Mytilus edulis: one gene and its partners. Each later gene encodes a partner of the first gene's protein in a complex. Links are inferred from orthologs where the notes say so. Each region holds a gene or a part of one and is shown in the gene's direction. Other genes may lie near its edges.

Region 1 (12,030 bases):
TACCGAAAATACCAAAATAAGCACAGTGTATTTGGTTATACCGCAGTCCCACTAGGCCACGATCGCACTTCGATCTGTGAAAAAAATGGTCTTCCCGTTTGAATGGTTTTACACTAGTAATTTTTGGGGCCCTTTATAGCTTGCTGTTCGGTGTGAGCCAAGGCTCCGTGTTGAAGGCCGTAGAAAGTCTCTGCTTGGATGGAGAGTTGTCTCATTGGCACTCATACCACATCTTCCTATATCTATTGACACATCTGTGTCATCTCTGCTATCATTCACTAAAATATCGTCATTTGACCTTTATGGACCAGCAATAGGTTGTAATTTAGGTTGGATTATTCGGTCCGACATCTCTGCTTGATCAGTATTCTTTATTATCAGAGCTCCCTCTGCCGCTACATCAACCCCTACCACCACGACCACGTGTTCTAGTAGATCTTGGTGACATGACTGTATTTTTTCTGAGAACGTAGTAAGATCGCCATATGAACGTACGATATAATCGTGGAAAGAACGTGCTTTAATCGCAGTAGAAGCGTGGTGAGATTGTGTTGCAATCGGATAACTCGTGGTATGGTCGTAGTGAGAACGTGATGAGCTCAGAAAGATCTTGATAAGCGTAGTGAGAATGTGGCATAATCATAGCGGGATTGTTGTAGAAGCGTAATGAGGACGTAGTAGAATCATGAAAGCAACGAAAATTTACATTTTCATGCTGCTCATACCGTGACCTCACCACGATCTGAATTTATTCTTAGATCTAAGAAGAATATTCTAAATTTTCCTTCGCAAGACAAAATAAAATGTTAGCAAACACTAACCACTATAAAAAAAAGTTCAGTATATGTTTTCAATTACGTTTTTATAGCTCTTGTTCATATGCTTAAGTAATATCTAGAATACCTGAGGATTAAAACAACAAAGATATGCGATAAAACGGATGTCCAAAGTTACATTTTTTTAACTACTGTTTTAACTCTTACGTATAGTGATACTGTTTCTCATTTACATATCTTCCAGAAACTTTGTGTGAACAACGACATATGTTGGTTCTTTGTGACATTAAAGCTGTTATGTTGTCAAATTTATTTTTGACTCGGGGGCTGAATATTAAGCTAGAATAAGAAAAATGTCCGACGTTTTTCATTGACTCAACGACCAATAATTAATTTTATAAGAAGATATAGCATAGAGTGTCTGAAAAAAAGTAAGGTATTATAAACAACTATCAAAAGAACAAATATTTGCCTCATTGTTCATGAGTTAAAACTAGAGGCTCTAAAGAGCCTGTGTCGCTCACCTTGGTCTATGTGAATATTAAACAATGGACACAGATGGATTCATGACAAAATTGTGTTTTGGTGATGGTGATGTGTTTGTAGATCTTACTTTACTAAACTTTTCTTGCTGCTTACAATTATCTCTATCTATAACAGTACTTTCTGTGGAAAATGTTATTGAAAATCTTCAAATTTTAAGAAAATTGTTAAAAATTGACTATGAAGGGCAATAACTCCTTAGGGGGTCAATTGACTATTTTGGTCATACTGACTTACTCTTAGTTCTTACTTTGCTGTACATTATTGTTGTTTACAGTTTATCTCTATCTATAATAATATTCAAGATAATAACAAAAAAAACAGTAAAATTTCCTCAAAATTACCAATTCAGGGGCAGCAACCTAACAACCAATTATCCAATTCATCTGAAAATTCCAGGGCAGATAGATCGTGACCTGATCAACAATTTTACTTCCTGTCAGATTTGCTCTTAATGCTTTGGTTTTTGAGTTATAAGCCAAAAACTGCATTTTACCCTCATGTTCTATTTTTAGCCATGGCGGCCATCTTGGTTTGTTGGCCGAGTTACCGGACACATTTTTTTAAACTAGATACCCCAATGATGATTATGGCTAAGTTTGGTTAAATTTGGCCAAGTAGTTTCAGAGGAGAAGATTTTTCTAAAAGATTACTAAGATTTACGAAAAATGGTTAAAAATTGACTATAAAGGGCAATAACTCCTAAAGTGGTCAACTGACCATTTTGGTCATGTTGACTTATTTGTAGATCTTACTTTGCTGAACATTATTGCTGTTTACAGTTTATCTCTATCTATAATAATATTCAAGGTAATAACCAAAAACAGCAAAATTTCCTTAAAATTACCATTTCAGGGGCAGCAACCCAACAACGGAATGTCCGATTCATCTGAAAATTTCAGGGCAGATAGATCTTGACCTGATGAACAATTTTACCCCGACAGATTTGCTCTAAATGCTTTGGTTTTTGAGTTATAAGCCAAAAACTGCATTTTACCCCTATGTTCTATTTTTAGCCATGGCGGCCATCTTGGTTGGTTGGCCGGGTCACCGGACACATTTTTTAAACTACATACCCCAATGATGATTATGGCCAAGTTTGGTTAAATTTGGCCCAGTAGTTTCAGAGAAGATTTTTCTAAAAGATTACTAAGATTTACGAAAAATGGTTAAAAATTGACTATAAAGGGCAATAACTCCTAAAGTATATCTCTATCTATAATAATATTCAAGATAATAACCAAAAACAGCAAAATTTCCTTAAAATTACCATTTCAGGGGCAGCAACCCAACAACGGAATGTCAGATTCATCTGAAAATTTCAGGGCAGATAGATCTTGACCTGATGAACAATTTTACCCCCATGTCAGATTTGCTCTAAATGCTTTGGTTTTTGAGATATAAGCCAAAAACTGCATTTTACCCCTATGTTCTATTTTTAGCCATGGCGGCCATCTTGGTTGATTGGCCGGGTCACCGGACACATTTTTTAAACTAGATACCCCAATGAGGATTATGGCCAAGTTTGGTTAAATTTGGCCCAGTAGTTTCAGAGGAGAAGATTTTTGTAAAAGTTAACGCAGGACGACGACGGACGACGACGCCGGACGCCGGACGCCAAGTGATGAGAAAAGCTCACTTGGCCTTTCGGCCAGGTGAGCTAAAAAAGTAGATTCTATAAAGGCTTCTCTTTAGAGTTGTTTTTCAAGCGGTAGTCATTTTGTCCAAGTTAATATTTCATTTGTCAAAGCAATTAATGTTGGTTTTTATACGACCGCAAAAATTTTAATTTTTTGGTCGTATATTGCTATCACGTTGGCGTCGTCGTCCTGCGTCGTCAAAAATTTGATCAAAATCCAAATTCAGAGCTGTATCACGCATAAATGTTTTGTCCATACCTGCCCCAACTGTTCAGGGATCGACCTCTGCGGTCGTATAAAGCTGCGCCCTGCGGAGCACCTGGTTTACTTTATATTTCAATAAGTAATTTATAATTATCAAAACAAAAGTTAGATACACAGAAAGTACAAAATGCCTAGATTCTTTTCTTTATTAACTACATGTGTGGGTCTTAAAGGAATAAAATGCTACGAAACATTGCAAAACGGTAGTCATTTTTTCCAAACGTATCAAAACGTCAAATAATCTGAAAAAACGCTTATTACCACCGTTACATGTGCTTAATTAGTTTCAATGAAATGCTCCTGATAATTAAACAAATCGGGTGGTGAAATTTGGAGCAAGATATTGAAGGCTGTCGAAAAAAAAAATGGTGCATGTTGACTGACTCGGAACATAGAATCCACACAGATTAAATTTGGCTATTTTATAAATCTTTTTAGCTTTTAGCGATTTATTGCTGATAGAGGCGACAAATTTCACAGTTTAGTTGGCGACTTGTCCTGCTACTCATGTTATAGCTGTCATAATGGAACTAATTCCTGTACTAGCGAAGTTGGGCCTTTCCGTCAATATAAACTTGTACATGAAACGGAGGTTACTGAATGACTAATCGAAAACAGCAACCAAAACTATTTCATTGAATTACAGCCGATTTCAATGTTTTAATAATCTAAGAAGTACATTGTAGTCATTTAGTCTTGATGTTTGGCTTATGATATACCTAAATATCAAGTCTTAAAATAGTATTTCATGGTTGTCATGTAGTCTTGATATTTGGCTTATTATACTTCTTAGATTATTAAAACACCCTTTACCCAATGCTAAACCTCCAATATGGTTATATCATAAGGTCACATGATTACCTCATAAAAATTCAAAAATAAAATATATTTAAACAAGAATGTGTCCCCAGTACACGGATGCCCCATCCTCACTATCATTTTCTATGTTACGTGGACCGTGAAAATGGGGGGAAATCTCTGATTTGGCATTAAAATTAGAAAGATCATATCATAGGGAACATGTGTACTAAGTTTCAAGTTGATTGGACTTCAACTTCATCAAAAACTACCGCGACCAAAAACTTTTACCTGAAGCGGGACTAACGGACGGACAAACAGACGGACGGACGCACTGACCAGAAAACATAATGCCCATAAATGGGACATAAAAATGTCTTTAAGTTCTTAATCTATTGCCCTACTGTATATTGGCATCCAAATTTCTTTAAAATTTTATTGTTTAAGAGAATTTTTAAACTCTTTTTTAAATATTGTTTTTTTGTAAAGTTTAACGGTACTTCAAACTTGTTAACAAAAGAAAAGTCTAAATCTACATGATCTTAGAATTTAATATATGTTTGATGTTTCCTATCCAAGATTCCTGGTTAGGTTTGTTCACAGAATGGGATAAATTTATGGCCTCCCATATAGGATAATATTTGAAGGTTCAATTCTTTCATACGATGATTCCAATATTTTATCATACTGATAATTACATAATAAAGTGTAGGGAGTTAAGGTAGCACAATATAAAGATTTTTTCACTCCCAATCAGACAACTTTAAACTGATGTAATTCATTTCATCCTTCTTTATATTTTATAAATGAGGTACCAAAAGAAAGAAGAAAGATTAATCTTTCAAATTGTGATAATTTCATTATGACATAATCATTACATAATTAATTATTATGTAATTAGTCGCTATATTGTGATGTCCACACTTGAATGAATTTAGCGTCTTTGTTTTTCATAGCATCCCAAAATATTTTATAGATTCTTGTACAACACAGCTTGACCTCCAAAACTGTGTCTCAGATTTCCAAAAACATCAATAGAACAAATTTTATACCCAATTGAACTTAGTGGTCTCTAATGAATTGATGTTGCAAACTTCATTGAAGATTTATGAGAGAATGAAATACAATAGGAAAAATCTGAGACACAGTTTTGGAGGTCAAACTGTGTTGTGCAAGAATCTATAAAAAAAATTTAGGATGCTATGAAGAACAAAGAAGCTAAATTCATTCAAGTATGGACATCACAGAATGGCAACTAATTACATAACAATTAATTATGTAATAATTATGTCATAATGAAATTATCACAATTTGAAAGATTAATCTTTCTTCTTTTTTTTGGTACCTTATTTATAAAATTTAAAGAAAGATGAGTGGAATTACATCAGTTTAAAGATGTCTGATTGGGGATGAAAAATCTTTGTATTGTGCTACCTTAATCTAGTTCAACTCTACATGCCATATTTGATGTTTTTAAATTACTTCCAAGAAAACTTACAAAACTTAGTATGAATTTTCTCTAGAACAAGATAATCAGTTTCTTTTGATATGAAGTTATCCATATATTTTTGTTTCTTATGTGGTATATAACCCCAAATTTCATATCCATACAACAAGATAGGTCTGATTATAATGGTTATAAATATGTAATGAAGTAATAGATTTTGGGCTTTCCACTGAAAAGGTCTTCCTTAATTTGCAATAAGCTGTCATTCTTTTATTATTATGTTCTATTCTTTGCCTTTTGAAAGTTCCCAGATGCTAAAAAAAAATATTCTCAAGTATATGTACTAATACTAGTTCTGTACACATTCTAAAATATGGTTTCCTAAGGATATTTTAATAATTTTATGTCGTCCTGATTTGTTAAATACTTTTGGTCTTTTAGGTAAATGTTTGGTGATAACTGTTATTTTACGTTCAACTACTACATGTACTAAATTAATTTACAAACACAATTTTTTTTCAATGATCCAAACCAAAATCTGTGGCATAGCCCATTTACTGTAACTTAGCATAAAGCTAAGTAAACTTAGTATAATATACTTAAGAAATGCAAAATTAGGGGTCAAACAAGATAACTGATAGTCTCACAAGACTGTTAGATTTGAAATGTAATTCCAAATTGTTGGGTTACTTCATTTATTATTACTGAATTTATTTATTTTATTTATAATACTTGTAGATACTATTTTTGGGTATTTGCGCATATGTAACGTTTTGCTCATGAACATTATAATATTTCCCGTTTTTAAGTTTTATGACGTTTCGCTTTTGACGTACGTTACGTTGTCTAGTTTTTTATTCATTGCAAGTTATTTGATATTCGGAGACACATCATTATTTTATAGAGAGATCATAATCAGTAAGAGATAATTTATGTACATTTTTAAGAACAATATTTATTTGAAGAAGAAATATTAAGAATTGTAAAAGTATTTATAAATTAATATTTATTCTAATTAACTTTTTAATTCAACAAGTTACTTATGAAGCGTGAAAGAAAGTGAATCATATTGTTTGATTAGTATTATGCCTTTAGTGTTTTAAGTTATATTTTAACTTACGTGTATTTGTATTTTATTGTAGAGAATCGGTTGTTATGATATAGTATATGAAGCCAAAATTATATGTACACAATGTAGTTTTGAAGAATAAAGATACTTATATAGACCGCATACTCGACTTATCGCCTTATTTGATGTCTTTGATGTGATCCGTTACAAAGACAATATTGAGTCTTGATCATGTTAATGAAGTTATGAACTGCTTGTTATAAGGGAGTCCTTGTAGATAAAAGGCTGTGATCCAGCATTATCATTGAGAAAATGTGTTGCTCCAGATTTTTTTAGTTTATTTTTATTTTTTGTAAATGTGAGCTTGTATATTTAATACATTGTATATGAACAAAATTATGTATAATTTGGGATTTTAAATAGAAATAATTTATATATTGCCTTTTATGCCTATTGGGTTGTAGTTTTATAATTATAAGATCACTGAAAACAGCATTCCGAAATAAAGGAAGATCTATATCATACAGACATTATCTAAAATGAAAGGTTTATATTACATACATTGAAGTAACACCTTATCTGTCCTACAGATTTTGAACAAGGAAGTAAAATATCTTTCACAAAGCTTGAGTAAAAGATAGAAGCTCTATCAGATTGTCTATTAAAATTCTATTTATGAATATGATACTACAAAAAAAAATTCTAAATTTTAGATCAATAAATTATGTGATTAATACTAAAAATAAGTATCGTAATCAAGGATAAAAGTTAATATCCTGGTATAAATATAGTTTATTTCTATCCGTTATTCAAACCCTTTCGTCTGGTTCCCGGGTTGGTTTGAATACACAGAGGAACCAGTATAAAAATAGAAATTGAAACTAAGAAATATGTGGTCGAGAACAAGTTATACTCTACGGTATTTTTCAAAGGATAAACTGTTTTCTTCTAACAAGCACATTGTAAGGTTACAACGTAGAAAAGCTAGTAGCGGTTCTATTCAGAAAGCAGATCTAGACGATAAAGAAATAACTCAAACTAGTCAAAGTGGAGAGTATATCCAGAAAGCATTAAAACCTAAAACGAATGATCCATTTGTTAAAAATTTATTTCTTGGAAATTTTGATAAGGTAATTATGAAAAAAAGTATTAGCCGATGCAACAACTTTACATGATCTTCCAAATACTGCTATTTCCAATCAAATAGAAGAGAAAATGTTATTATAAAATATAAGTGGAGGTTACATAAGCACTATACAGCTTTTTGCCCACAATAATAATAATACATCTACATACAATGAACCTAATCGCTATTGTCGGCCATTACTCTGAGCTGTTACTGGATATCACACAGGTTTCCGTGAAATTTTGACATCAGAAATAGAATTTATCTGACGCCTCAATGGTAAAGTGATTGTTGTATGACGTCAGTAGTTCAAGCGAGACAGATTCTTGGGTCAGCCTGGAATAGCAATAATGTGTAATGTGTATGTAAAGACATAAAATCCTAAACATTTTAATATGAAAATATGATGATTTCAGATGTTCACTAGACCTGTGGGGTAATCACAATTCTGATGAGATTTTTACCATGGACTAGCGATTTTGTTGATTTTAATTTATTGCGTGTTATTGCCTAAAAGAAATGTGCTACAAAATAACTGTGTTCAATCAGCAACTATTGGGAAGGTTGTCAACATGGTCAACATTAACAGATAAAGTGTAAATATTTTGTACAGAAATTCAAACACCATTTCCTGTAAAATTATAAATTTTAAGTGACACAGACAAAAACAAAGTATTCGTATGTACAATGTAGATGCTTTGACATTTTCAGGATGCTCTGATATACCCTGAACTTACGAAAGAACAGTTAGATGATATAAACCAATTGGTGCAGCCTATAGAAAGATTTTTTGATGAAGGTAGTTATTCATTCTGTACAAGTTTAATATCCTTGGTCCATAATTATACAACCGCAAAAATACAAAAAAAACTGAGATTTAGTTTGAGGTTAGTTTTCCCGAATATGTAGGAATAAGGGGCCAAAAAAGGGACAAAAAGAAGCATTTTTCTAGTTTACAGACAATAACTTGTGTTTAAGTGTATGGATCTCTTTAAATTTTTACAAGAAAATTAAATACCACTAAAGGAAGGTTGTGATTGATCTTGGGGGTTATGGTCCCAATAGTTTAGGAATTAGGGGCCAAAAAGAGGGCCCAAAATAATATTTTTTGTAGTTTTCAAACAATAACTTATGTTTAAGTGTATGAATCTCTCTGAAATTAAACCACAAGTTACCATACCATGAAGAGATGGTTAGTATTGACTTTGAGGGGTTATGGCTCAAAATGTTTCGGATTTAGGGGCAAAAAAAGGGGAAAAAATAGGTATTTCTGTTCAATGGACAATTAAGACAATTTAAAAGCAGTGTAAGGGAGGTAATTCTAAAACATTTAACATACAATATTGGGTACATGTATGTTCTGGTTTACCTCCCTTACACTACTTGTATATTATGTATTAAGAAATGTCAGGTCTTGGACTAATTGCAAAAAAAGGGGGCTGGTAGTTGTTTTTAATTTTTTTTTCAAATTTCTAAAATTCCAAATTTTTGAAAAGTTAAAAGAAGAAATCTTTAATTGCACAATATTGCGCAATAGATTTGTAAGATCTTGACATTTGTTTTGTGTCAGAAACTCATATTATGTCAAAAATTTGATCGCAATCCAAATTCAGAGCTGTATCAAGCTTGAATGTTGTGTCCATACTTGCCCCAACTGTTCAGGGATCGACTTCTGCATTCGTATAAAGCTGTGCCCTGATGAGCACCTGGTTCTATCTTATTTTAGTCTTTGAGGTTCATAAGATAGATAATAATAATAAATTGTAGTCATGATATTTAAAAAAATTAAATGTCTCTATCTAATAAAAAAGAAAGAAAGTTAGTTTATTTTTCCTGTCAACATACTGCTCTTTCTATGCATGTTTTGACCTCCCAAAACTTAAAAATTTAACAATGTTAAGGGGGTTGTAAAAATAGTACTTGTGGAAGTAAATTTTGGGAAAAGATCAAACTTTGAAAATTAAATCCAAGTCTTCCAAAATTTTCTATACAAGTAAATATTACTAACACTTTCAAGCAAATGAAGATGACTTGTATAATTTCCCTGGCTGACTGATAGAAAAGTTTTCAACTTTGTTGTAGTTGATTCAAAGACAATAGATGAAAAAGCTAAAATTCCTGATGATGTTTTACAGCAGTTAAAAGATTTAGGGTTATTTGGTCAACAAATTCCTGAAGAATATGGTAAGTAACCTTTATTTAGATATAAGAACATGTGTTATGAGTGCCAATGAGACAACGATTTGTAAAAGTATTAATATGAACCATCATAGGTTAAATTACAGTCTTCAACACAAAGCGTATGCTACATGTATTATTAATAACATGTACATTTTCTCTATTGATCTCTATTGGTACGCAAATGTAAAATTGTGCTTTGAATTTAGTGCTGATTCAGAAATAAAATATTTGTTATGATACATGTAGTATGATATTTGTCTTTATTTATTCATTAAAATATGAAATATCCATATCCAATTTTTCATCTCTAATAAGACTTTATTTACAAAATATAACACATAAGTAAAAAAAAAAATACAATTTCAGAAAAAGAAGAGCAACTATAAAAAAGAATTATTTAAAAAATGGGACACCAAAAATAGAAAAAAATATTTGATGGTAGAATTGACATCAAAATAACAAATATCAACTAATTGCAATACAAACAAAACAATTAATTAAATTGCTTACACATGCCGGTGCAGTACGTTTGCACGCATTACCATTACATTTGCGGGCATTGCCAATACATTCGCGCACAAAAATCATTTTTGCACGCAGCTTTTGATTACATTTGCACACATTTTTTTGACAGGTAAACTACAGGTCATAATACTTGTTTATTTATTAATTTGTTCAATTATTTACAAGTATCAGTTACCCTTCCGTTAGTCTGAGTCTCCTAAAGCACCTATTTTGAAAAAAATCAATCAGTAAATTTTTAGAGAAAATACAGGTACAAAATGTAATAATACTCATATATTTATTAATTTGTTCAATTATTTACAAGTATCAGTACCCCTTCCATTAGTATAAGTCTCATAAAGTAGGGAAGAAAAGAGATAAAGCCGCATATTTTTTGCGATACAATTCAACAAGTCAAAGGTGTATGCAAAATTTTAAGAAAATCTGTGACATAGCCCATTTATTGTAACTTGACCTTAAGCTATAACGGAGTTTATACTTGGTTTTAGAAATCAATATGAGCAATATATAATTTGAATTAACAAACTTTTTTCAAAATTAATAATTGATAGACATATCTGTTATGAAAATACAAAAAAAATATAGTCATTTATGATTTAGTATAATTTTTATTGATATCTTTTCCTGAGATTACCTGTAAAATTAATGCACGCAAATGTAATCAAAAGCTGCGCAAACGTAAAACATTTTAATCCCCAAATGCGCGCAAACGTAGTGCGCCCACACATGCTCCCATTTCGCCTTAGTTAATTATTGTGTACCTGAAAATTTGTGCAAGGCAAACTGGGATTAATTTTATATAACTATTTTGACAGCTAAGGCGAAATGAGAATAAGCCATTAGAATAGTTGACCTGTAGTTACCTGTCAATGTCAGACCATAGTCATGCTTTGTTGATTTTTATTACTTTTACCTGCAATCAACAAGACATAAAATCCTCCCAGATGGGAGTTATAACTGGGATTTTTTTGGGAGAGAAATCTGAATTTCACAGTGTGACACTGTGTTACACCAAAATCAGTGTTGGGAGTATGATAATATGTCCTCTCTGTGTATACTGTATAGTCAAGTGAATTGGATTAAAATTTATCTTATTATGCTTTGCTATATTGGTTTTTAAGACGTGATAAAAGTTTCAAAGGATGTTGAAAACAAAAGGATCAGTTACTTCACTTGCAAGAAAAATTGTTAAACACATGAAAGGTTTTCTAGTATAAAGACTAAGAGCTATGTGGGTAATATTGAACAACTCAATGTTTGTACATATATTTTGCAGAAAACATATAGTTTTGAAACATTTTAGGTGGCCTAGGACTAAATGCTACAGAATTTGCCAGACTAGCAGAAATAACAGCACTTGATGGTTCTATATCAGTCACATTAGCAGCTCACCAGTCGATTGGCCTGAAAGTAAGACAATATTATAGAAGAAAGTTATATTCACAGTCCAGAAGTGGTCATGATGATAGGGGTATAGTATTGAGCTATTGCTTCATTTCTTCATTTCCATCATTTGGTATGCAACCCTATTTTGTAAGAGGCAGATAGATTTAAAATAATTTGATATTGAAATGTATTGTTTCAAGCTTCAAAATATAAAGGTTTTTGATAAGTTTTTTAGATTGACTTTTTTGATGTTTTTTTTTATTAATGGTAATTGG
Region 2 (11,114 bases), on another chromosome or scaffold:
TTTCGGTATATCATTGATATTGAAGATCGTTTGATTGATATACGAATATTTCTAACGACAAAACATTTTCATGTTATTAATTTGCATTTAAAAAAATCTGAGTATCCATTGAAAACATGAATATAAAAGAAGAGACAAGGAATTTTATTCTGCACTATAATGTTCGCGGGTTCATAATGTCGGTTATTATCCCAACACTAATTATATACGCATCTCTTTGATCTTTGAAGATCTTTGAAAAGTAGGCGATGGCAATACACCCGAGGCCCCTCAGGGGCCTCTGATGTAAAAATGGTCAAAGACATTTAGACACTATGTATATAAATTACTGTCAATTATTAAAACATTACAAAATCCATGTACCAGGTGTCATTCCAGTTAGTGTGAGAAACTGAAGACTATCTTTGGTAAATACGGTTAAATGTTTATTAAAGTTTTCAGTATTTCTCCTTTATCAGCATATAAGCAATTCTTCCAACATACCAAGTTATCTTCTTAATTACACCTTATGTAAGAATCCTGGGTTTTGACGGGTTGATAGCCATTGTATTTTTCACCAATTTACTGTAATGATCTTTAATCAAATGAATATCGTTCATTTTTTAACGCCGCCGGGGTATGACATTACGGCTCGTGAAATTTTACATTCTCTCGACTGGTTAATTAACATGATACATCTGTTCAATATTATAGCAATACTATTAACGTTAAATTAAGTTCAGTTTTTCATTCTAATTTTTAGATATTATTAGGACCATGTTTCGTGATGACTGGTAATAGTACATTTATTGAGTTAATTAAACAAAGTACATGACTATATGAGTGGATGTTGCCCTTGAGAACCCTGATGATATATGACCATTTATATCCATGACACTTACATGTTCCTAGATTTTTATAAAGGACATTGACTTAAATATTAAAAAAAGCAATTTATAAATCTAGTATCTCAACCTAAATAAATTAATATTTTAAGTAGGTGTGTAACCTTACCAAATATGTAAGGTTACAGATATGTACAGCAAGAATGAAATGTCTGTGAAAGTGGGCAATGTAATGACACCATCTTTCAGTTCACTAGTTGGGGTAAGACAAGGGGATGTTCGATCTGCCTCCAAAATTTGAGCCAAGTCCAGATGCTGTTGATATCAATGGGCGTAGAATTGATTGTCTTATGTACGCTGATGACATTATTGTATTATCAAACACAAAAAAAGGTCTTCAAAACCGACTTGATATATTGCATACTTATTGTATTGACTGGTGTCTAGATGTAAACTTGTCCAAAACAAAAGTTTTAATTTTTTTAAAACAAGCCTGGAAAATTTGTAAAGGAATCATTTTATTTAGATAAAGAGGCTATAGAATGTGTTAATAAATGTAAATATTAAGGGATATTCTTTACTTCTAGTGGTCTTTTTCAACAGGGGAAAGAAGAGCTATTCAAAAAATCCTTAAAGGCAAAATTTAAATCACAAAAATCCATGTCAGCTTGTAATCCAAGTATTGATACTGCAATTCATTTATATGATCACACAATAAAACCAATTTTATTATATTGTAGTATAATTTGGGGTTCATTTAAAATTAACTCTGCTGCTTGCAAGAAAAAAGTGATTATCTATTTGAATTAATCTACATAAATGATTATTTGGAAAAATCACATTTCAGATATTTAAAGTATATTCTTGGTGTAAATAAGAAAGCCTCAAATTTAGCAGTGTTATCAGAGGTTGCAAGATTTCCTCTTTATTTTTCTGTCATTATATCCATGGTAAAATATGTACACAGGCTTAACAAGTTGGACAAAGGGTTACTTTATGATGCTTATGTTTGTAATAAAATTTTAGATGCAGAAAACATTAATTGTTGGTATTCATCTATGAAATATGTACTTCAATCACTTGATATACAAAATTTAGATACAAAGCTCAATAAATTAATTAAATTTGTAAAATGTAAACTTTGTAATAGTTTTAAAACATTTTGGTTGGTCAAAAGATCTGAAACCTTATCACAAGGTAATAGTAAATTAGAGAATTATTTCAACCTCAAGACTGACTTTGTAAAGGAGGCTTTTTTATCAATTAAAGATTTTAGTATAAGAAGAGCTATATGTAAAATGAGAATAAGTGCTCATGATCTGAAAATTGAGAAAGATAGATATAGTAAAAAATACATAGAGATAACTCAACGTCTATTTCATCACTGCTTATCACATGGATCAAATTCTATTGAAGATGAGACCCATTTTACAGTAAATTGTCCATTATATGATGAACAGAGGAAATTATTATTTGATAAAGTTATCACTTTTTGTACTAATTTTAAAGAACTACCTAATGATAAGAAATATTTCTGGCTGTTCACAAATGAGCATTTACCAACTCTCATGTGCCTAGGAAATTACATTATTAAAGGTTTAGAAATAAGATCCAGATGTAAACAAAATATATGAAATAATTTAGTATTTTATTGTTATAAGATTTAATATAATAGTTATATAAAACACATGTTGTGTTAGGCTCTGATCCTGTCCATAACGTTACAGTATGTATTAGTTTTCTGTTTTGCTTTTTCCAATCATATTGTGTTGTAAAATGATGCTCTTTACGGGTTCTTGATTAGATTAATAAAATTCTTATCTTAAACAAAAACAAAAAAAAATTCTTATCTTATTGACCGCAAAATAAAAAAAATCTTTCAAATGATAAAAAAAAAAAAGATATTAAAGATGCATTCTGTCTTGGTGTAAAACATTGTAAAGTCTAGCCTAAAACCACATAAGAGCAGCCACCAGACAATATATGTTACACCAGACGCGCGCTTCGTCTATACACAAGAATCATCAGTGGCGCTATAATTGAAACAATTGGTTGGCCAAATCAACTATGAAGTTTAAAAGCAACAAAAAGCGAAAACCGTTCGAATAATTAGATATCTTATTAACAGTTAGTTTACAGAAAATGAACACATCAATGATATTCCACAAAGACACAAAAGTACTGACTACGGGGCTGGTTATCTCCAAAAGCATGCCATCGACCATAACTTGGACGGTTGTTTTTTTTCTGTTTTTGTTTTCGCCCGAGTTAACTCTTAAAGTCTTACTATATCATATTTTAGCATGGTTTTATATTTCAATAGTACATTTAGTAGGAAAACTGTAAACAGAAATTCCTGTTTAATTTGATATATTCGATGTGTTGCAACTTTTAAAAAGATATGTTTATTTCAATCGGAAAGTACTTGCGGTCACTGAACTCAAACTTAAACCCCTTTCAAGACATAATTAAAACTAAAACAAGACATTTGTTCCCCAGTCTAAAATATAAATCATCCCCATTTACAGACCTTAATTTGTTGTTCTTAATGTGACACTATAAATTATCAAAATGGTTCAGGTTCTATCTAAGCAACAAATAAAAAGCAGTATACATGTCTGTTCCTTCTGATCCTGTGAACTGTCGCATCACTGGCGGATGATGCAACATAACTATTTTTTTTCAATTTCGAATTTATCTTTTTAATTTGTCTTCATAAACGTCATCGTTCAGGTGGATCAATGTCATAGATTTATAAACAATTTGCGTATCGACTGTAAAAAGCATGTTTATTTGTTCACTGCAAATCTCTCAGTATGTATTGAGAGTCACGCCATGGTCATTGAGTAGCAGTAGCAATGACCGTTTACGGTGAGTTCTTGTTCCATAAATGTTGCCATGTTTCATTTAATAACAATGATCAACAATATCCGCGCGAATTTTTTTTTTTGTCATATGACAATCGAAAAATGTTAACCAAATTTAGAATAAGCAATCTTGTCTTTTAATAGAAACTGGCCGCGATATGCAAAAAAATAATAATACCAACAAACGAAAGAAAATGTAAAATAATATGTAATGTATTAAATGACGTATTCCATATTTTTATACTTGTAAACTGATTTAATAAAAATAAAAGAGAAATCTTTCTTAAATATTATACCGAAAAATATGTTAATTTTAACTTAACCAGAGACATATAATGCATTACAAAACTTAACTGATAAACTCGTGATTATGTAGGATTATATAGTGTCCCCCATAAAATTATGTCCCATGAACAAAATTTCACAGACATGATCTATGAAATTTGGTCCAGGACATAATTTTATTATAAAATATTGTCCACCTCTATGTAAAAGTGTCCCTTGGCAAGAGATTCTATTGTGACCTTCGTTGGACATTTTTTCATAGTAAAATCATGTCCATATTGCATAAAAGTCCTGTCTTATACCAAAAAATTTATTTAACAAAAAATAATAAGACTAAATTGACATTTGTATTTAAATAAGCAATAGGAATCTATGAATTGTTTTAACATCTTTGAATTATCCTTTTTAACAAAATCAAAAATGTCAGGAATAATATTCATAAATGCTTGATTGCAATTATGATTGAATATCAAGTTTTAATGTTTGCTCTTGTGTTTTTGTTTTTTGTCAACATTGATATAATACATTTCATTGTTTTTAATGTGAAACTGCTTTGCCTTCCTTTTAAATGATCTATCATTATTTTCAAATTCTGGAGGGTATTGACCATCACACACATAATTATACAGCTGTTTATATTTATCACTTTCCATTTTTGTTCACATCTGTGTTGTCTTTATTTAAATTTCAACTATTATTTTAAAACTAATTGATTAAAACATTTCAATGATTTCTAAATTATTTCCCTTCAATAGGGACAGAAAAAAATAGCTACACTATGAAATATTGTCCTTTGTGACATATTTTTATATAACATCCATGAAATTATGTGCAAGTACTAGGGACAATTTTTCACTAAGGGAGACACTATTTTATGGTTTACAAATGTGATATTTTGTCCCTTGAACAAAATTTCACGGCTGAACTGTGAAATAATGTTCTAGAGGACACAATTTCATGGGACACTTTTTTGGCTTACAATTATACTAAATCCATCAAAACCAAATGATATAAACACAGTTTTTTTTTAAAGCGTCATCATGAGAACTGAGCATGGAGACCAATAACTGGTTTTAACATGCATATTATATTTGTTGAGTTTTTCTTATGTTTGTTTTGTCTATGTATATGCTATAACTTATTTACTAAAATTGTTTTTTGTTTGTTTAGCAAATAATGTATATATATAATTATTAATAAATTTATCAATCGTTCATTTTGTGTGTAATCAGTATTGTTTGCTTTTATAAATTTTGATTTTGTTTCTATTGTGTATGTTTGATATGTTTGTATATCTATGAGGTGCCGTTTTACTATTTATTACTTAGTTTCTGATATCAAAAAATGATTTTCTGATTTAATATGTTTATTGTGTTAATACATGTTGGTCACACACTAAAATGTATACGACAATAAAATATTTGGTTTGATTTGCCGGTATTGTATTACCCAATTATTTAATTCCCATTGTTTTCTTTATACTTTTGCACCCAATTATTCTCTGTGACTACTTTATTCAATAATGTTTCCTTATTTTTTATTTTATGGCCAATATTCTCAATTCTGTAGGAACCAATCGAACGAATGTGAAGTAATATTATCTTGTATTGAATGAACGAAGGGAATTAACTCTTACCTGTTTCAAATAAATTTTCTTTTAAATCGTAGATTGTCTCCCATCAATTACCAAAGATGAACGTGTGGAGTTCTGGCACCTTTGCTAGGTATGATATATGTTATTTATCGTGAAAACTTTTCATTAAGTATCGAAAATCTAATAACATATCTAAACAAACTAGGCCTAATCACTAACACATTGTTCCTACCTCAATGAGCCGTGTGTAGAAATTCACAAAGATAAACCCTATTAGCCTATGCTACAGATATAAACACCGTGCTTGCATCGGAATATGACCGACAATTTCCCGTGTATTATATTTCCACAAATAAATTGTCCGTTTTCCAACCAAAAGAGTAACGTGTAAATAATATAACTTAACAACAAAACAATTATAATCATATTGAGATTGAGATGAGACCAAGTTTTTGTAGAAGGGGAAGGGTGGGGGTAGGGGAGGGGACAGAATTGAATAAAAATGAAAATAAATATTTGCAACACAAAATAGAGGAAACCTTTGTGTACAAAAGTTCACATAAAAAAATAACATGCATATCAACTGTTACAACATGAAAATTGTAACCGGAGGGGTTTTAACGTTGCGTATTTTCTGTGTCAACTTTAACATATTTTACCCCAGACCGTGTATTTACAATAGGAGGTCAATTAACATGTTAACAACACCTCGATTTTAGCAACAACAGTTAACAACATATTAAAAAATGCTGATATTAACAGTTAACACATAGGGTTGAAATTAAAACAGTCATCAGTTTAAATTTATCTCAGATAAAAGTTAACAACACCTTGAAAAAGGCCATGACAGGTTAACATAAAAAGGTATAAAAAGGTATTGCCCCTTTCATACCGGGTATATGTAACATTTTAAGAAGCAAGATCAGAGTTGCCTTTAATATATTGATTCTTATTCCTGCATATATACAAAACCCTACATTTATACAAAATGCAAGGAAGACCTATAATTTCCAAGAGAAAACGAAACAGAACTGAGAATGGAAACAGGGAATGTGTTAAAGAGAAAACCAACAGACCAAAGAGCAGAAGACAGATCAAGGCTATCTATTGGTCTTTAACACAGGCAAGAAAAACCTGCACCTGGAGTAGTGGTTCACCTGGCTCCTAAAAAATAAGGTGTAACAGATCAAGGCTATCTATTGGTCTTTAACACAGCCAAGAAAACCTGCACCTGGAGAAGTGCTTCAGCTGGCTCCTAAACAATAAGGTGTACTAGTTCAGCTAAAATGGACATCACACTAAAAAAACTTTGAATTATATAAATGAACCAAAAATTTAAAAAAGTTACCAAGTGGTTTATACATTATTTTACAGCTTATTTCGATCATTTAATTCAATATCATTTAAAACAATTATATTTTTTTTTACAGGAGTGCGGTCCTCACGAAACAATGGAGAAATGCTGTGATCAAAAGATGTATGAGTTCACCTTGTTTAAAAAGAAACAGTGGAAAAGTTTTGTTTACAAACAAATTAAACAGATTGACTTACTTCCCTAGTCGCTGTTATCCATCTTCAGAATACCCAGAGACATTTGATCCTTTCAAGAAAAAAAAGCCAGAGTTTGATCCAAATATTGCAAAGAGGAAATATAAAACCATTTATTTCTTTAAACCAATTAAAGTGGCAAAAATTTTGTCAATGTTAAAGATATACCAGACTGGATTTACATTTGCCTTGGTTCCATACTCATTATTTATGTTTCATTCTCAACTAGCTGATTTTAATGTTATTGCTGCATGTGTTGGACTTTCAATATCTGCCACAGTTTCTTTGTATTATATCAGTATGTATATACAAAACATCACAGGTATTATTGGTGTAAATGAGGATATGACAAAAGTAATGATTTCACATTTGAATTTCTGGGGCAAACGTGAGGATCAAATTTTCAAACGAGAGGAGATTGTTCCTTTCTCAGACAGTGGAGAAGATGTGAAAAGTGACATTTATAAATTAATAACATTTTTTTCAAATGATCAGAAGTTTTATCTTTTTGTGAATAGAGGCAAAGTTGTAGATAGAGAAAAGTTTGAAGAAATTTTTGGAAACTTGATATAAATAAATGTATCACTTTTATGTTCAATATTTTAGTGACAAATAATTCAGAATAAAAGATGACATAATTTTAAGTTTATATTTAGATATAGAGGTAGAAAGGTGAAGATGTATCAATGATCTGTGATTATATCATGTACATGATTTAAGGACTTGTTGATATCGGAAGAAAGATAAATGTCTTTTAAAATATTTAAGAGAATGTCTTATAAGCATGTATTTTTCAGCATTCTGATTAAAGATTATTATTCAATGATAAAAAAAAAGAGAAGGACTTAAACCTAATTTTATTCTTTTTATGAATTAAAAAAATCTTTAGAACAATTAGCTTTTATAAGTAATCTGACAAAAAAAATGAGTTATTAAATATGACTGATGATAAGGCCATGTAGGTCATTGCCATCATTTTGCGTCTGTTGTTTATTTCTGTCGTCTCCATACTTTTCAAAGAACTTTTTCTCTGAAACTACAGAACCACTTTTAACAAAACTTGGGATGAGTGATCTGTCGCGATCCTTAGGGTATGTATCTTGTATAAAATTTGTGTTTTATTCTGGTCAATAAACAAGCATGTACACCAGACTTAAAAAAGAACAAGAGTTAAAATGTATTCATGGTCTTTTATCTTGAAAACTGTCACAACTAAAAGGTAGAGAAAATATGAAAAATCAAAATTGTTCAGAATGCCAAGATCTTCCTCCTCACAATTTTCACCAAAATTATTTGTGTGGGAGTTATTTCCCTTAAATGACAGTTTTTAGTTAATTTTCATGTTTTAGCCTATTATTTTAAAACTTTATAAAAAAAAAAGAAAATGTGGTGTGAATGCCAATGTGACAACTCTCCACAAAGAGACCAAATAACACAGAAACTAATAACTATAGGTCATTGTACAGCCTTCAACAATGAGCAAATCCAATATTGCATAGTCAGCTATAAGAGGCCCCAAAATGAATATTTGTTGGACTTGGGTAAAAACTGATAAGGTCAAAAATTATAAGCAATACAAAAAGTGCCAAATAATAGAAACCATTGGATGACTTCTTAACATATTTTGGACTATTTTTTGTGTCCGTCATGACTTTTTCAAAGAACTTCTCTGCTGAACATGCTGGCTGAAAGAACTGAACTGAACCAATTCCAACAAAATTAGGGGGGGGGGGGGGGGATGATCCTTAGATATATAATTTGTGGTATCTGCCTGTCTGTCAACAAACATCTATTTTTAACAATCAATTAAACATAGAACATTAGGATAAAATCCATTTTCTTGAATCTTCAAACCATAAGAGAACAAGCAAATATAAAAGGACAAAATTTATCAGAGATCAACCTACATCATGTACTTACTGTTTCTACCAAAAATATCATCTGACAACTTAATTAGATGAGTAGAAACTATAACATGTAAAGGCAAAAGTGATCATCAAAACAAGATCTTCAAAAGTGTCAATATTATTTATATGATTAGATCACTCATCAGCAAGGAGTTATTGCCTTTAAATAACGATTGTTGACAGATTTAAGTGTTTTTGCCTAATATCTTTAAAATTATAATGGATAAATGGAAACTGTAAGCAACAAAAAAAGGTATTGTGATTATTTTTTTCACATATAACAGTAAAAATTTGGTTCAATTTGTAGTAATTATTTCTGCATTGGAACAAGTTTCAGTTATAAAAATATTGCATCCATTGAAACCTGAGACATCTGTGCAAAATTACACATATCTTTCAATTTGAAAATGTACAGCAAAAAAGAAGCAGCCAATCGAACATTACCATCAAGGAAAGGAAAGTTAACCAGAAGAGAAAAAAAGTAGAACAGTTTGTCATAAAATTTGTAATGATCATTGCCATGTGAAATGCCAACATCATGGTCTAAAAAGGACAGTGGTCACTCAGTATTGAATTAAGTAAGAGCATGGAAATGAAATGAAAATGCATTTCCATAGAAAGAGTGAGTTGAGGTGGACAACCTAAACATCAATGAAACATTTGCCACTGGACATAAAGTAAACAACCTGTCAATTAATCTAGCAATCACATTTAAAATATCTGGAATGACTACAGAGAAAATGTCTTCTAGATATCTTCATGTTTTATATATCTAGCAATGCGTGCATTATTAGTCTTTTGGGTAAAGATTGCATGGAAATGAAAGGCACTGACTTGATATCTAAATCTAAAAAGTTGATCATTCACTGACTTTGAGATAGAAAAAAATATAGTGCATTGATTATAACAATCTATACATCCAATCCAAGAACATTTCCAGATATTCAAGTCACAAACTGATGTTATACTCGTCAAGAAAATATTGCAAGGCACACGAATCTAATAGCTGTACATGTTCTTAAATATCAAGGATGTGAATTTTAACCAGATTTTCGAAGTAAAATTAATTTGTTGATTTGGGGATGTACGGCAGGCAGTGGCTGCCAAACAGTGTCCTTTCATTTCATTTCATAAAAACCCTAAGAAGATTTTTGTCATGCCCCCTCTATGAAAGTAGAGGGACATTATGTTTTCTGGTCTGTGTGTCTGTGTGTTTGTCCGTCCGTCTGTCCCGCTTCAGGTTAAAGTTTTTGGTCCAGGTAGTTTTTGATGAAGTTGAAGTCCAATCAATTTGAAACTTAGTACATTTGTTCCCTTTGATATGATTTTTCAATTTTATTGCCAAATTAGATTTTTGACTCCACTGAACATAGAAAATGATAGTGCGAGTTTCAGGTTAAAGTTTTTGGTCAAGGTAGTTTTTGATGAAAGTCCAATCCACTTAAAACTTAGTACACATGTTCCCTATGATATAATCTTTCAAATTTGAATATCAAATTAGATTTTTTTACCCCAATTTCACGGTCCACTAAACATAGACATTGATAGTGCGAGACTGGAGCATCCGTCTACTATGGACAAATTCTTGTTTAAATTTAAATATGTTGTTTCTTGTGACAAAATAAAGGTCAAGTTCAATTTTAGCTTTTCTCATTGATAAGTTATAGCCCTTTCCCAAGAATTAAACTTTTGATAAATTAATCAATATCTGTACAAAAGGAAATTACTCAATTTTTAAAAGATTTTTTAGACAAATAGTATTAGTTAATGATAAAGGACATTTTGGATTTTTGTTTTCTTTTCTTTGGTAAATTGTTTGAAGACTTTTGTGGTAGGTTTGTTTGTTATTCTGTATAAAATAGTTTATATGAATGCTTTATATAGAACTATAATAATATATTTAGATAGGATATATTTCATTACATTACATTGTGTAGATCTTTATTAGTTTGTGACAAATGAAAGAAAAAGAATTTGGCACTTTTAATTATATATGACTATAAATTGAAAAAAGATATACACTGACTGTGTTACATCATATCTTATAATCTTATTTTAGAGAAGTTTTTCCAGTCTTCAGTTAGAATAC
Region 3 (11,298 bases), on another chromosome or scaffold:
GAAATTTTGTCTCCAGGTAGACCATAGGTGATAATATAAATAGATATAGGAAGACGTGGTAAGAGACAACTCTCCATCCAAGTAACAACTTTTAAAAGTAAACCATTATAGGTCAAGGTACGGACTTCAACACAGAGCCTTGGTTCACACCGAACAGCAAGCTATAAAGGGCCCTAAAAATTATAATGTAAAACTATTCAAACAGGAAAATCAACGGTCTAATCTATATAAAAACGAGAAATATGTATGAACTACATAAACAAACGAAAACTTCTGTACATCAGATAAAGTATGGATGACCCAGTCAAGAATCATTAAGATAAGCTTTATATTTTACAGTTATACATTTTCATGAGTACTATTTGTGAATTGAACTCAGGTACTTGGCTTGTTTCCTATCCTTGTCACTATATAACCTATGATTCATTGTGATATTGGTCAATAAATCACAATTTAAATTTAAGGTGAAAAAGGGGTCCATTTTCATCTTTAAGTGCCTTATTGAACCTTCTCCTTTCGTGAAACTTTGTAGATATCTCCATACTGACAGGAAATTATGATTTCAACTATTGTTTTTATCAGTTTTATCGGTTATGCCCACCTTTGAACTTAGAATTTTGGCAAATATACAACTGCAACAGTTTGTCATTCCAACTCCTCTCGAACCACATAACAGAATTGTATGAAACTTTATTGATAATTAGTACATACTATATGTAGGTGTGCATAATGACACATTTGAGATTCAATGCTTTTTCTAAAGAATTATGCCCCTTTGAATTAGAATTTTGACTATGATATACAAATTCAATAGTTTGTTAGCACATATCTCTAAAACAACATAACATAACAGAATCTTATGAAACTTTTTTTACTTAATAAGGTCATAAAATGTTAATTTTCATATTCACACAAAAAAAATAATAATACTGGTAGTTATAGTAGGAGTTTTGAATCCTTGAACTTTGAAAGGACAGTTATTGTTTTCTCAGTGACAATGTGGTGTTGGTTATATGAGTGTGTTCAAATTTAATTTGATAATAAAACATGTTCAGATGGGAGACATACAGATGGGTATAATCATATTTAATTTGAGGCCAAAGGTCAAGGTCAGAACTGCAAAAAATAAACTGAAATCAAAGCATTGTAAGCGCTATTGGCAGGTAACCAAAAACCAAGACAAATTATAGTTTAGTTAGAAATTGTTGCTTCTGTCTGATGTCTTCAGATGCACTTGTTTTAGCAAAATTTCTACAGTTGTGAGTAGAAAAGGGTTTGAAGAAATCAATTTTATGCAAGAAGTCAGGACTTAGTGTGAGGATAGCTGACATACTTTGCAGTTTGAAAGTAATCACTGTATTTTTAATAGTGTCAGCTTGTGAACACAACTCCTCTGAAATCATTCGACAGAGCTAGAACTCTCACTCTTTAAAGAATTGTCTGCCATGTGTAGTGGACAAAATTGTACCATTGTTGGAAAGATTGGAACTTGTTCTAAATCTTTCCTTAGGCACTGGCCTCTCTAACAACACAACTGGTTAGCTACTATTACTAAATGTATTCACACTGAAATATAGTTCCCTATAGTTCTCATGTATGTTCACATAATATACATATAAACTGTTAACAAATGGGTATATTTTTGGAGCAGTTCATACAAGAAGGTATGTCATTAAGGTGTCTTGATGAAAAGGCTTTATTTTTAAACATATTGAGTATTGATACAATACTAGATGATTGACAACTCATTATCATCAACCATTCAGGGACAAGGTGGACCTTTAATTACAATGCCCCACCTCCTAAACTGTCAATCAAATTGACCACATTACTTATCAACCTAAGTCTTACATAGTTATACCGACCCTATTACATCTATGCTTCAATATACATCCCAATAAACAAATATCAATAAATATTTGACCTCAAAATTGAATACACTAATGTATATACTAGATGTTTGATATATAAGGATGATAGATTTATTTATTGCCTTTTACTTTTGATCTACATTACATAAAGGTGAATCTGTAAAGTGTGTCTGAAAGATAAATGATTAATTAAGGATTAATAAGATCTTTAAGAAAAATGAAATATAAATATGAATATATAAAAGGTATTCAAGTAAGGCGTATGATTTACTTGATAAATTTACAATATTCATCTGCAATTAATCAATAATTTAGGTTAGTTCACTTATTTTTTTTATATCAGTAATTGGCTTGAAACAGTTTTAAAATTTTAAAACTTTTGATTATAACAAACCATTTTTTATTAGTTTATTCCCCATCAATCATTATGTTTATTTTAGTCATTTGAATTTTTATAAGAAAGTGAATACATCTTTTTGCAATCAAGAAAAAATCCGCTAGAATAAGTTTTTTTAATTTGTTTACGTTGAAAAAGTACATTTTCAATGCCCCGTTCTGAAAAATATGAATTGATCAAAAGGCACAACTTTTAATCTTCAATGTCATATAACCTATGTTTTAACTTACAAAATGCCCCAAAACAACATTTTTAGATTATTTTTGTTGACACTTTAAAGTTCTTAGCTTATGTCTTATAAGAGTAGTTGTAACATTTACTAGAAGAATTTTCAGCAATAGTGCTTTATTTATGTTCTTTCAGTCCCCTCCATACCTTAATATGAAATTATCCAAACTACTCTTCCAATCTTTCCATGAGTGATATCCATCACTTTGATTTTTATTTGACTATCGATCAACAATAATGCACCTGGACAATTCCTCTTTTCTGGCGTAGAAATCTTGTTAATCTTTACACAACTGTCATAATGTAATGAGTTCTCCAAAGTTTTGAAATACAAAAACCTCTTCTGGACCTTATTTATTCTGGATTCCTATGATTTAATAGTTAATATATTTAAGAAAAATAAAGACATACTCAAGAGATTTCAGTTTGAAATAACGATATTAGAATGTAGAACAGAAAGTCACAGGACAAAAAGTCAACACTAAAAAAGGTAAAAAATCCCATAACTCTGATATAATTATATAAATGGTTGGATCAAAATGACAGTATTATATGGTCAACTACAAATAACATGCATTACCAAGTATGATGGCTTCCTGTCAGATGCATCGTCCCAGAAGAGCTGCATTCTCACAATTCTCCATGAAATACTCAATGTCCCTCAACGCCTGTAAAATTGGTTTATTTACAATGACTCGGAAACAAATCCGACTAGATATGTACCTACAATGATTCTTTGCCTAATATTCACATTAAGAGAGGTCAAAGTAGTGGGGGAAATATAACAACTGGTTTAGAATAGTCGGGTAACAAAATATGAGAGATTTCTGTAAAATGGTCTTAGAGTAGTGGCCTTTAAAAGGTGTTGTAGTTACGAAACCGATAAGTTTCTGTATAACGGTCTCAGAGAAGTTGCCTTCACAAGGTGTTGTAGTTAGAAGGCGAGAGATTTCTGTGAAATGGTATTATAGGAGTTGCCTTCAAAAGGTGTTGTAGTTAGGAGACGAGGGGTTTCTGTAAAATGGCCGTTGAGGAGTTGTCTTCACTAGGTGTTGAAGTTAGGAGACAAGAGGTTTCTATAAAATGGTCTTAGAGGAGTTGCCATCACAAGGAGACCAGGGGAATTGTTAAATGGTCGTAGGGGCGGTGGTCTTCACTTATGTTGTAATTAAGAAACGAGAGAATTCTATAAAACGGTCTCAGAGGAGTTTCCTTCAAAAGGTGTTGTAGTTTTTCTGTAAAATTGTCGTAGATGAGTTGTATTCATTATAGGTGTTAAATTTAGGAGACGAGAGGTTTCTATACAACGGTCTTAGAGGAGTTGCCTTCAAAAGGTGTTGTAGTTAGGAGACGATGGCTTTCTGTAAAATTGTCGTAGAGGAGTTGCATTCACTAGGTGTTTAGTTAGGAGACGAGAGGTTTATATAAAACGGTCTAAGAGGGTGTTTCCTTCACAAGGTGGTGTACTTATGAAACGACTTTTTGATTTATTTTTGATTTGTTTTTGATTTATTTCTGATTTATTTTATTGGTGGAAGGGGGCGATTGAAGCATTTTTTTGCGATTTACTATTCATTGTTACCTGTTGCCACGCAGGCTTATTTCTTTTAAGATGCTAAGTGCGCTAAAATCTTTTTATTTTTTGTACCCAATTGTTTCCTGTATGTTATGTTATTGAATATTAATTTTTCTTCCTGTCTTAAGCGAGGTTATTTCTTTCCAGCTCTTACCAGGCCACAATGTTTATTTTAAGAACCCATCTGCCCCTCCCACTTAATCTACTAAAAAAACGGTAATAAAGACAAAAGCATACTATACAAGTAAGTAAGTAAGTAAAACTTTATTTGGATTCGGCATATTGACAAACAGTACAAACATAAGCTCTATTGAGCTTTTCACCCGGAATATAAAAACATATGCAATAACAAATAAAACAAGGCATGCAGCATACAAAATAAATAATAAAAAGCAGCACCAAAAATTAACTCTAAGCAATAGCATATACATGTATCTTGCGAAATACCAAAACATATATATGAAGCACTAAATCTTGAAAAATTTGCAGTTTAAAAATTATTTTTTAAATAATTTATGATATTTATGACTGATTTATAAAGTAAAAAATTTAAATCTTTCAAACAAAATGTAAAAACAAAATTTCAGTTACAATGCTAGCTGTTATTACTTAATGCAGCATAAAAAGGGTTAAGCATAAAAATAGCAACACAAATTATCTACAGGCAGAGCAAAAACATTCTGTTCCACTCCAGGACTGTCTGAACAAGACTTTAAAAATGTGAGAAGCTGTTAACAGTCCTGAAATGGTCTGGTATGCTATTCCATAAAGAAGCAGCAGCAAAACTAAAAGATTTTTTTCCATATGAAGTAGTTCTTACCAGTGGTATTTCCAAAATATTACTGTATCTAAAAGAATATTTAGTGTGTTTAATTTGGAGTAAATTTTGTGAGCCAAATTATTTAAAACTTTTATAAGTCTCAAGTGCCATTGTCCTGATGCGTTTTACTTGTAGGGTTGGAACCTTTGTGTCTCAAGAAGAGTTTCAGAGGATGATCAGTAGTCGTCATATACAAATCTCAATGCACTCTCTTGTATTTTTTCAAGTTTTTTTTAGAATTTTCTCTGCCGGTATAAAAATGTCAAGCCAAAGGGCAAAAATTAAAATTACTAAATATAAAAGTATACAAATAACAACACAGAGAACTAGTCTTGGTAACATGAAGCCAACCAAAATCTGAGGGTGATCTAGACTGACAGTATATAATTGAATTGATAAATGTCCATTTCTGACATTGTTTTTTTACGCTGAATTTTACAAATTTTCCAAATTTATCTGATTATACTCCATCTGGTAGGTCTTTGATGTGGATCTTGTATCATAAATCTACCCAGACCATTTTTGAAGAATCTTCCTTTAGTGCAACCCTAAAACACACGTACTGTCTGACTATGCCTATAATTACTGGGTCCTCTATTCAAATTTATCTTCTCTATATACCAATTTCCGGATTAACACGTTCCTCTCCGGACTTTGTGTCACATTTACAAAAACTGAGCCTTTTCCGGCTAGCAGTCGGTGAAATATTTTCAACAGTACCCATCAGCGTGTGTGAAATCAGAACCTATGTCAATTAAGAGCCGGAAGTGAAAGTAGAACCATATTTTACACCTGCGTTATAGCCTACAAATAGACATATATATCTACCCAAAAGATGATGTGAACTGTCACGATACCGGATTTATTATCAAATTTTAAGTAGCTGAAATCAACACCATTTGTATACAATTATCATTGGACATCATTAAACTGTTGAACTGATAATAATAAAATGTACGAATAAAATGGCAACATTTAAATATTTTTCTCTGTTAAAGGCACATAAATTTATGTTCTGTTCTCAGGTTCTGTTTGGCGTGAATAGGAGTCTGGATGGGGTTTACAGAAAAGGGAATAATGGTAAAAAAAAGTGCAGAATAAAGGGTAAAATGAATGAAAAATATAGAATATTGGCAAAAATGATAATAAAATTAATAAACAAGTGTATGGTGCACACTTACAAAGAATAAAGAATAATGGGCATGCAAAATAAATAATAAATATTAGAAAAAAATGAACTCAAAATCAAAGAATAAAGACATAAAAAAAGCCCCTCCCCTTCAATCCAGACCCTCATGAATTTGATTCCAGTTCTATCGTAATTAATTACAAACGCTTGTTGACCTCAATTTTGAAGATAAAATTGTAAGAAAAAGAAATTATTGAAAGCTTAGTGTTGATGAACGCTTCACTGTGCCAGTAAAGTAAAAAATATATGTGTATTTATTTTTTATCTGGGACTAATTAATACATTTATTTACTAGTTCCAGTTTCATACATATTAAAATATTCATAAGTTATTCAATATTAGAATGTAATATGTGTTTTTTCATAGATATCAGGTACAACGATCTACAATACTACATTTATGATGGGTATTTCTAAAATATCAAAATATGATTACAATTACACAAGCATTTTCTCCCATGTGAAAATTACTTTTATCGACCAGAATTTTTTTGGCATATGAGTAAAACAGAGGTTGGAATTTAAAGAGAAAGATAAGTTTGACGTAGTTTATTTATGTAGGCATGTAAATGATTAAAATCTTTAAATGAGAAAAAAATAATATGATTATCTACGTAATGTCTACATAACAAAAACGTCAAAACGAAAGCGACTTTTTATTAAATTCTGTTTAGTGGACGACTATTTTATTTTCGGGGGAGAGTTAGGGGAAGAAATCCGTTTAAAAAAATGCATATACCTACCAACAGTGGTAAATAAATAGCCAATTCCCAGGCGCGTAGCTCCCTATACGCCAACACGCAGTTGCGTGCACATCAACACAGCATGCAAAAAAAATGTCAAAATAAAAATTTAAAGGAAACACAAATATGTTGTTTATAATAAACAAATCATTTAAAAATTGTATGTTTTCGAATATCATAAATACAGTTGTGAAAATGAATAATCATGAGTCCCTTGCTTTAATGGAAATGAAAAATCTTGCTTCAATAGTGCAGAAAATGAATAATTTGTCCTCTTAGATTACAAAAATAAATAACCGATCAAAAACAAATCCTCCTGCCCCCCCCCCCCCCCCCAGAATGTCAAATGGGCGACCCCTAAGTCTACATATATAGGATTTTTTTTTCTGCGACAAGTGCCTCAAACCACGTATTAAGATTTTTGATAAAGGACCACAATAGGTAAAAGTCCAATTTAAAATTAAATGTTTTAAGTTCTTAGACTACATTCATTCTGTGTCAGAAACCTAGACAGACAACCTGAATGGTTCAATAATGGAAAAATTAGAGAGAAATACCATAAATTAGGAATGTGGTCCGAGTTCAAATTTTGGCGAAACAGGACAAAACACATAATCGATGAATCAAAAAGAAAATTTTGTTCAAAGATGGTAAAAGATTCAAAAGCTTCTAAAGATTTGTGGAAATGTATTCAAAGTCTTAACCCATCCCAACAAGAAAAGCCATATGAACTTTTAAATGAAGATGGTGTTAAAACTAATAATGTCAGTGACATTTGTAATGTTTTAATAAGTTTTTTACATCTTGTGTTGAAAACCTGAGGACTGACAGATGTATGAGCAAAACTCATGATTATGCAAAATTAAATCAATTTGTACAAAAGAAATTTAATAAGTCAGAACAAGTAAAATTTTCAATTGCACCAGTCACAATAAATGGTCTATTTAATGAGATGATCAAACTTGACATTAATAAATCCACCGGATTTGATAACATAGAACCAAAATTTTTAAAATTGAGTGCTCCTTTCATAACGTCATCTTTAACTTACATTTTTAACAGAATAATAGATACAAGTACATTACCCAGTGTTCTAAAGAATGCAAGAGTAACCCCAGTTTTTAAAGCTGGTGAAAAATTCATGGCAACAAATTATAGACCAATTTCTGTACTTCCTGTTTTATCAAAACTTTTAGAAAAGCATGTTTCAAAACATTTGTATGACTACCTAAAAAGATTAGATCTTTTACACCCAGCACAGTCTGGGTTTCGACAAGAACACTCTTGCCAAACTGCCCTTATCAATATCATAGATAAATGGATACAGGATATGAATGATGGTGATATCAACTTAGCAGTCCTGTTGGATTTTAAGAAAGCTTTTGATGTAGTAGATCATGATATGCTCTGTAAAAAACTTGAAATTTATGGATTTGATAATACTGCTGTTTCTTTTTTTAAATCATATTTGAATGAAAGAACTCAACAAGTACAAATTGGTAATGCTCATTCTGAAAAACTTTATATCAAGTATGGTGTCCCCCAAGGCTCCATATTAGGCCCCTTCTGTTTATATTATACATAAACGACCTTCCTATTTATATGCAAAATTGTTGCACTGATTTATATGCCGATGATTCAACTTTACATCTTTCTGGTAATTGTTATCAAACTCTACAGTCAAAGGTACAAGAAGATTTACATGGTGTAGAGGAATGGTGCAATGATAACAATATGTTCATCAATAAAAATAAAACAAAATATATGATTATTGGAAAGAAGCAAAGAGCAATGCCACATTACAATGAGAGTTGTTTAACTATTAACAATCAAGTTATACAATCTTCCACATGTGAAAGTCTTTTAGGCATTAAAATTGACCCTTCCCTCACATGGACAAACCAAATTGATGTGATCTGCTCAAAAATATCATCTAGACTATATCTACTATTAAAGATTAAAAAATTTCTAAATCTAGACCCATTCGCTCCTTCTGCACCCTTATTCAAACATTTAAACTGGATGACAGTTGAACAGAGAATAAAATATCATAAGTTAGTGATGACATTTAAGTGCATTAAAAATGATGCCCCATCATATCTTACTAACAAGTTTCATTATGTTTCAGACAGAAATCCATACCCCTTGAGAAATGCTGTTCAAGGAAACCTCATACTCCCTAAACCAAAAACAGAATTGTTCAAAAAAATCTTTTATGTATTCTGGACCATTCTTGTGGAATAATTTGCCAATACCGTTAAGAAATATTACAAATGTTAATTCTTTCAAATACAAAATAACAGATCATTTATTGAAATCAACCTACCTGTATCAAAAATATTAAAAACTGATCATGTTATCATGTTTATTTTTTTTTTCATCACATTTTATCAAGTTGTATTAAACATTATTATCATACTTGACTTTTTATACTATAAATGTATGCAATGTATATGCAGGCGCGTAGCAACCCGTACGCAAAAACGCAGTTGCGTACACATCAAACATTCAGCAAAAATAAAAATATGGTAAATACAGTTAGAATAAAACTAAAGTAATGAAGTTAATGAAAAAAAATATACAAATATGTTAATGATGTTTGTAGCTATATTCCGTTCCGAAAACTAGTCTTCCCTTTTCATTTACGAAACCAACATCGTAATTATGTTGCTGATGCAAACAATTTAAAATGACTGAGTCCTCCGGGTGTCAAAACACAATTGTTACGTCTTCTATGCCTCCTTACCCTGGCATCTTTTCTGAAGATTCCAAAATAACTGATGAAATAAAATATGACATTCTTAAGAGACCATGGACATCAATTCATTCTTATGAATTTCCTGTGAGGTATGTATAAGTTTAAAAACAGTCTAGTCCAACTTAAGTTTAACGGGGGTGGTAAAGGGTAAAGTTTTCGTGCAACTGTACTCATCGTTTTTTTTTTCATTTGACGTTCAACGTGTTTTCACTTTTTTTAATTTTTGTGAAAGACGGGTGCCTTTTTCGTTCAACAAGTTACATGTTCCCAAATTTAAATAAAAGTGCGTATTTTCCATGCTTTCAGTTTTAAAGTTTTTGTTTTCCGTAATCCTAATTTGAATAAAAAAAAATTACTGATCCACCATCCAAACCCCACCCTTTACTACCATTTTTAACCTTTACTTACTAGCAAATTTTTAGAATTTTATTTAATATTGTTGAAGAAATAAAATTGATTTGATTTTGTTATGCCCTACCCACGATAATAGATGGGCATTGTGCTTTCTTGTCTGTGCATCCGTCTGTCCGTCCGTCTCTCTGTTGATCCGTCCGTCGTATGCCGGTCTCGATGAGAAGAGTGGAGACCTACTTGAAAAATACAATGAAAACGAATCGTTTATATGGACTCGGTCTTTTGAACATATACCGAAAAAAAAATCAAAGCAGACACGGTTTTGGACATCTTTAGTAGAAAAAAAGAAAGGAAATGGGCATTGATTTTTCAGAATCAACTTTGAGAGAAATAAAAAAGCTGAAAAACACTGCTTGTTCACTCATAAAATAAAACATAAAGATATATGTGATTCGAATTTTTATTTATGTATTTTCTCAATAAAAAAAAAATACCATTTAAGTTGCACAGTGTTGGCTTAGAAATTAGTTTTTCTAATGTAAAGTGGGTTCAGCATGATTAGGTAACAAATAAAATATACCTTATCAAGCCATTTTAAAACACTACACATAAGGAAAAAAACAAATTGTTAAGCCAACAGTACGGGTTTCTTTATTTTTCTCTGATTATTTATTTCCAAAGTTGACTTGTTTCTCCTAAAAGTAAGATTTCTGTGAGGTCATTTTAAGTCCTCGGAAGTTGTGAGAATGCAGGATTTTGCCCAATTTACCCCCAGAGCTTCTGGGGGCCTTGAGCAGCCCAAGACCCACCGCCGTATGACTTCCTTCTACGGCATTGCGTACACATCAAAATTGCCTAGCTACGCCCCTGATTCCACAAAAACCAAGAATACCAAATGCCCGTCCCCTTAATTAAAATAAGGACGAAGCCAAGTAAAATGGTATGGATAGGGTTCTTAAATTTCTGTATTCTTTAAATGTTTAGGGCATTTTTCTTTATCTGTAAGAATAACGCTTATTTTGTAAAATTCCCATTAAAATAATTTTACAATTCAAATTTTCTGTAATTGGAGGAATTCTTTATTCTGTACATAACTCGTTTCTTTAATCAGTAACGTATAACATAATTATTTTATTTTCAGTTCATTTTCTCTATTCATTATACGTGTTATATTTATTTGCCATATTTCTTCATGAATGCCCCATCCAGACCCTAATGTTATTGTAACGTAAATCAATGTAATTCATTGTTAAACTTACACTTTATTTCCCCCCTCTGAATTTTCAAAATCTTCTTTCCCTTCGAAAAAGACTGAATCACGATAAACCTATGTCTATATATACTAGTATATTACGTGTATATA

The links.
Region 2: complex I assembly factor ACAD9, mitochondrial-like (region 1) and transmembrane protein 186-like share a complex: the UniProt entries of both Homo sapiens proteins name them as parts of the mitochondrial complex. The link is inferred for Mytilus edulis from reciprocal best matches to the Homo sapiens genes ACAD9 and TMEM186.
Region 3: the proteins of complex I assembly factor ACAD9, mitochondrial-like (region 1) and evolutionarily conserved signaling intermediate in Toll pathway, mitochondrial-like are in contact, whole or in part, in a cryo-EM structure (PDB 8PHE), measured with the Homo sapiens proteins. The link is inferred for Mytilus edulis from reciprocal best matches to the Homo sapiens genes ACAD9 and ECSIT. Residues at the interface, in NP_054768.2 of Homo sapiens: Leu180, Thr181, Asp188, Ala189, Ala190, Ser191, Ile192, Lys228, Lys239, Asp240, Lys241, Ile242, Phe293, Ala296, Met297, Leu300, Ile431, Met434, Tyr435, Leu438, Thr439, Leu441, Gln442, Gly445, Thr449, Leu516, Gly520, Lys521, Ile523, Met524; in NP_057665.2 of Homo sapiens: Pro321, Glu322, Glu323, Trp324, Asn325, Leu326, Tyr327, Tyr328, Pro329, Met330, Leu332, Asp333, Leu334.

What each region holds. Positions count from the first base shown.
Region 1 is NC_092344.1:87,963,368-87,975,397, reverse strand, and holds the start of complex I assembly factor ACAD9, mitochondrial-like, read left to right. Parts: upstream 1-7,363; 5' UTR 7,364-7,427; coding exon 7,428-7,667; intron 7,668-8,374; coding exon 8,375-8,462; intron 8,463-9,745; coding exon 9,746-9,847; intron 9,848-11,672; coding exon 11,673-11,779; intron 11,780-12,030. UniProt on the Homo sapiens protein: As part of the MCIA complex, primarily participates in the assembly of the mitochondrial complex I and therefore plays a role in oxidative phosphorylation.
Region 2 is NC_092352.1:9,640,342-9,651,455, reverse strand, and holds transmembrane protein 186-like, read left to right. Parts: upstream 1-5,589; 5' UTR 5,590-5,668; coding exon 5,669-5,700; exon of another isoform or gene 5,701-5,760; intron 5,761-5,802; exon of another isoform or gene 5,803-5,893; intron 5,894-7,000; coding exon 7,001-7,691; 3' UTR 7,692-7,762; downstream 7,763-11,114. UniProt on the Homo sapiens protein: As part of the MCIA complex, required for efficient assembly of the mitochondrial complex I.
Region 3 is NC_092352.1:11,360,219-11,371,516, reverse strand, and holds the start of evolutionarily conserved signaling intermediate in Toll pathway, mitochondrial-like, read left to right. Parts: upstream 1-5,523; 5' UTR 5,524-5,603; intron 5,604-11,298.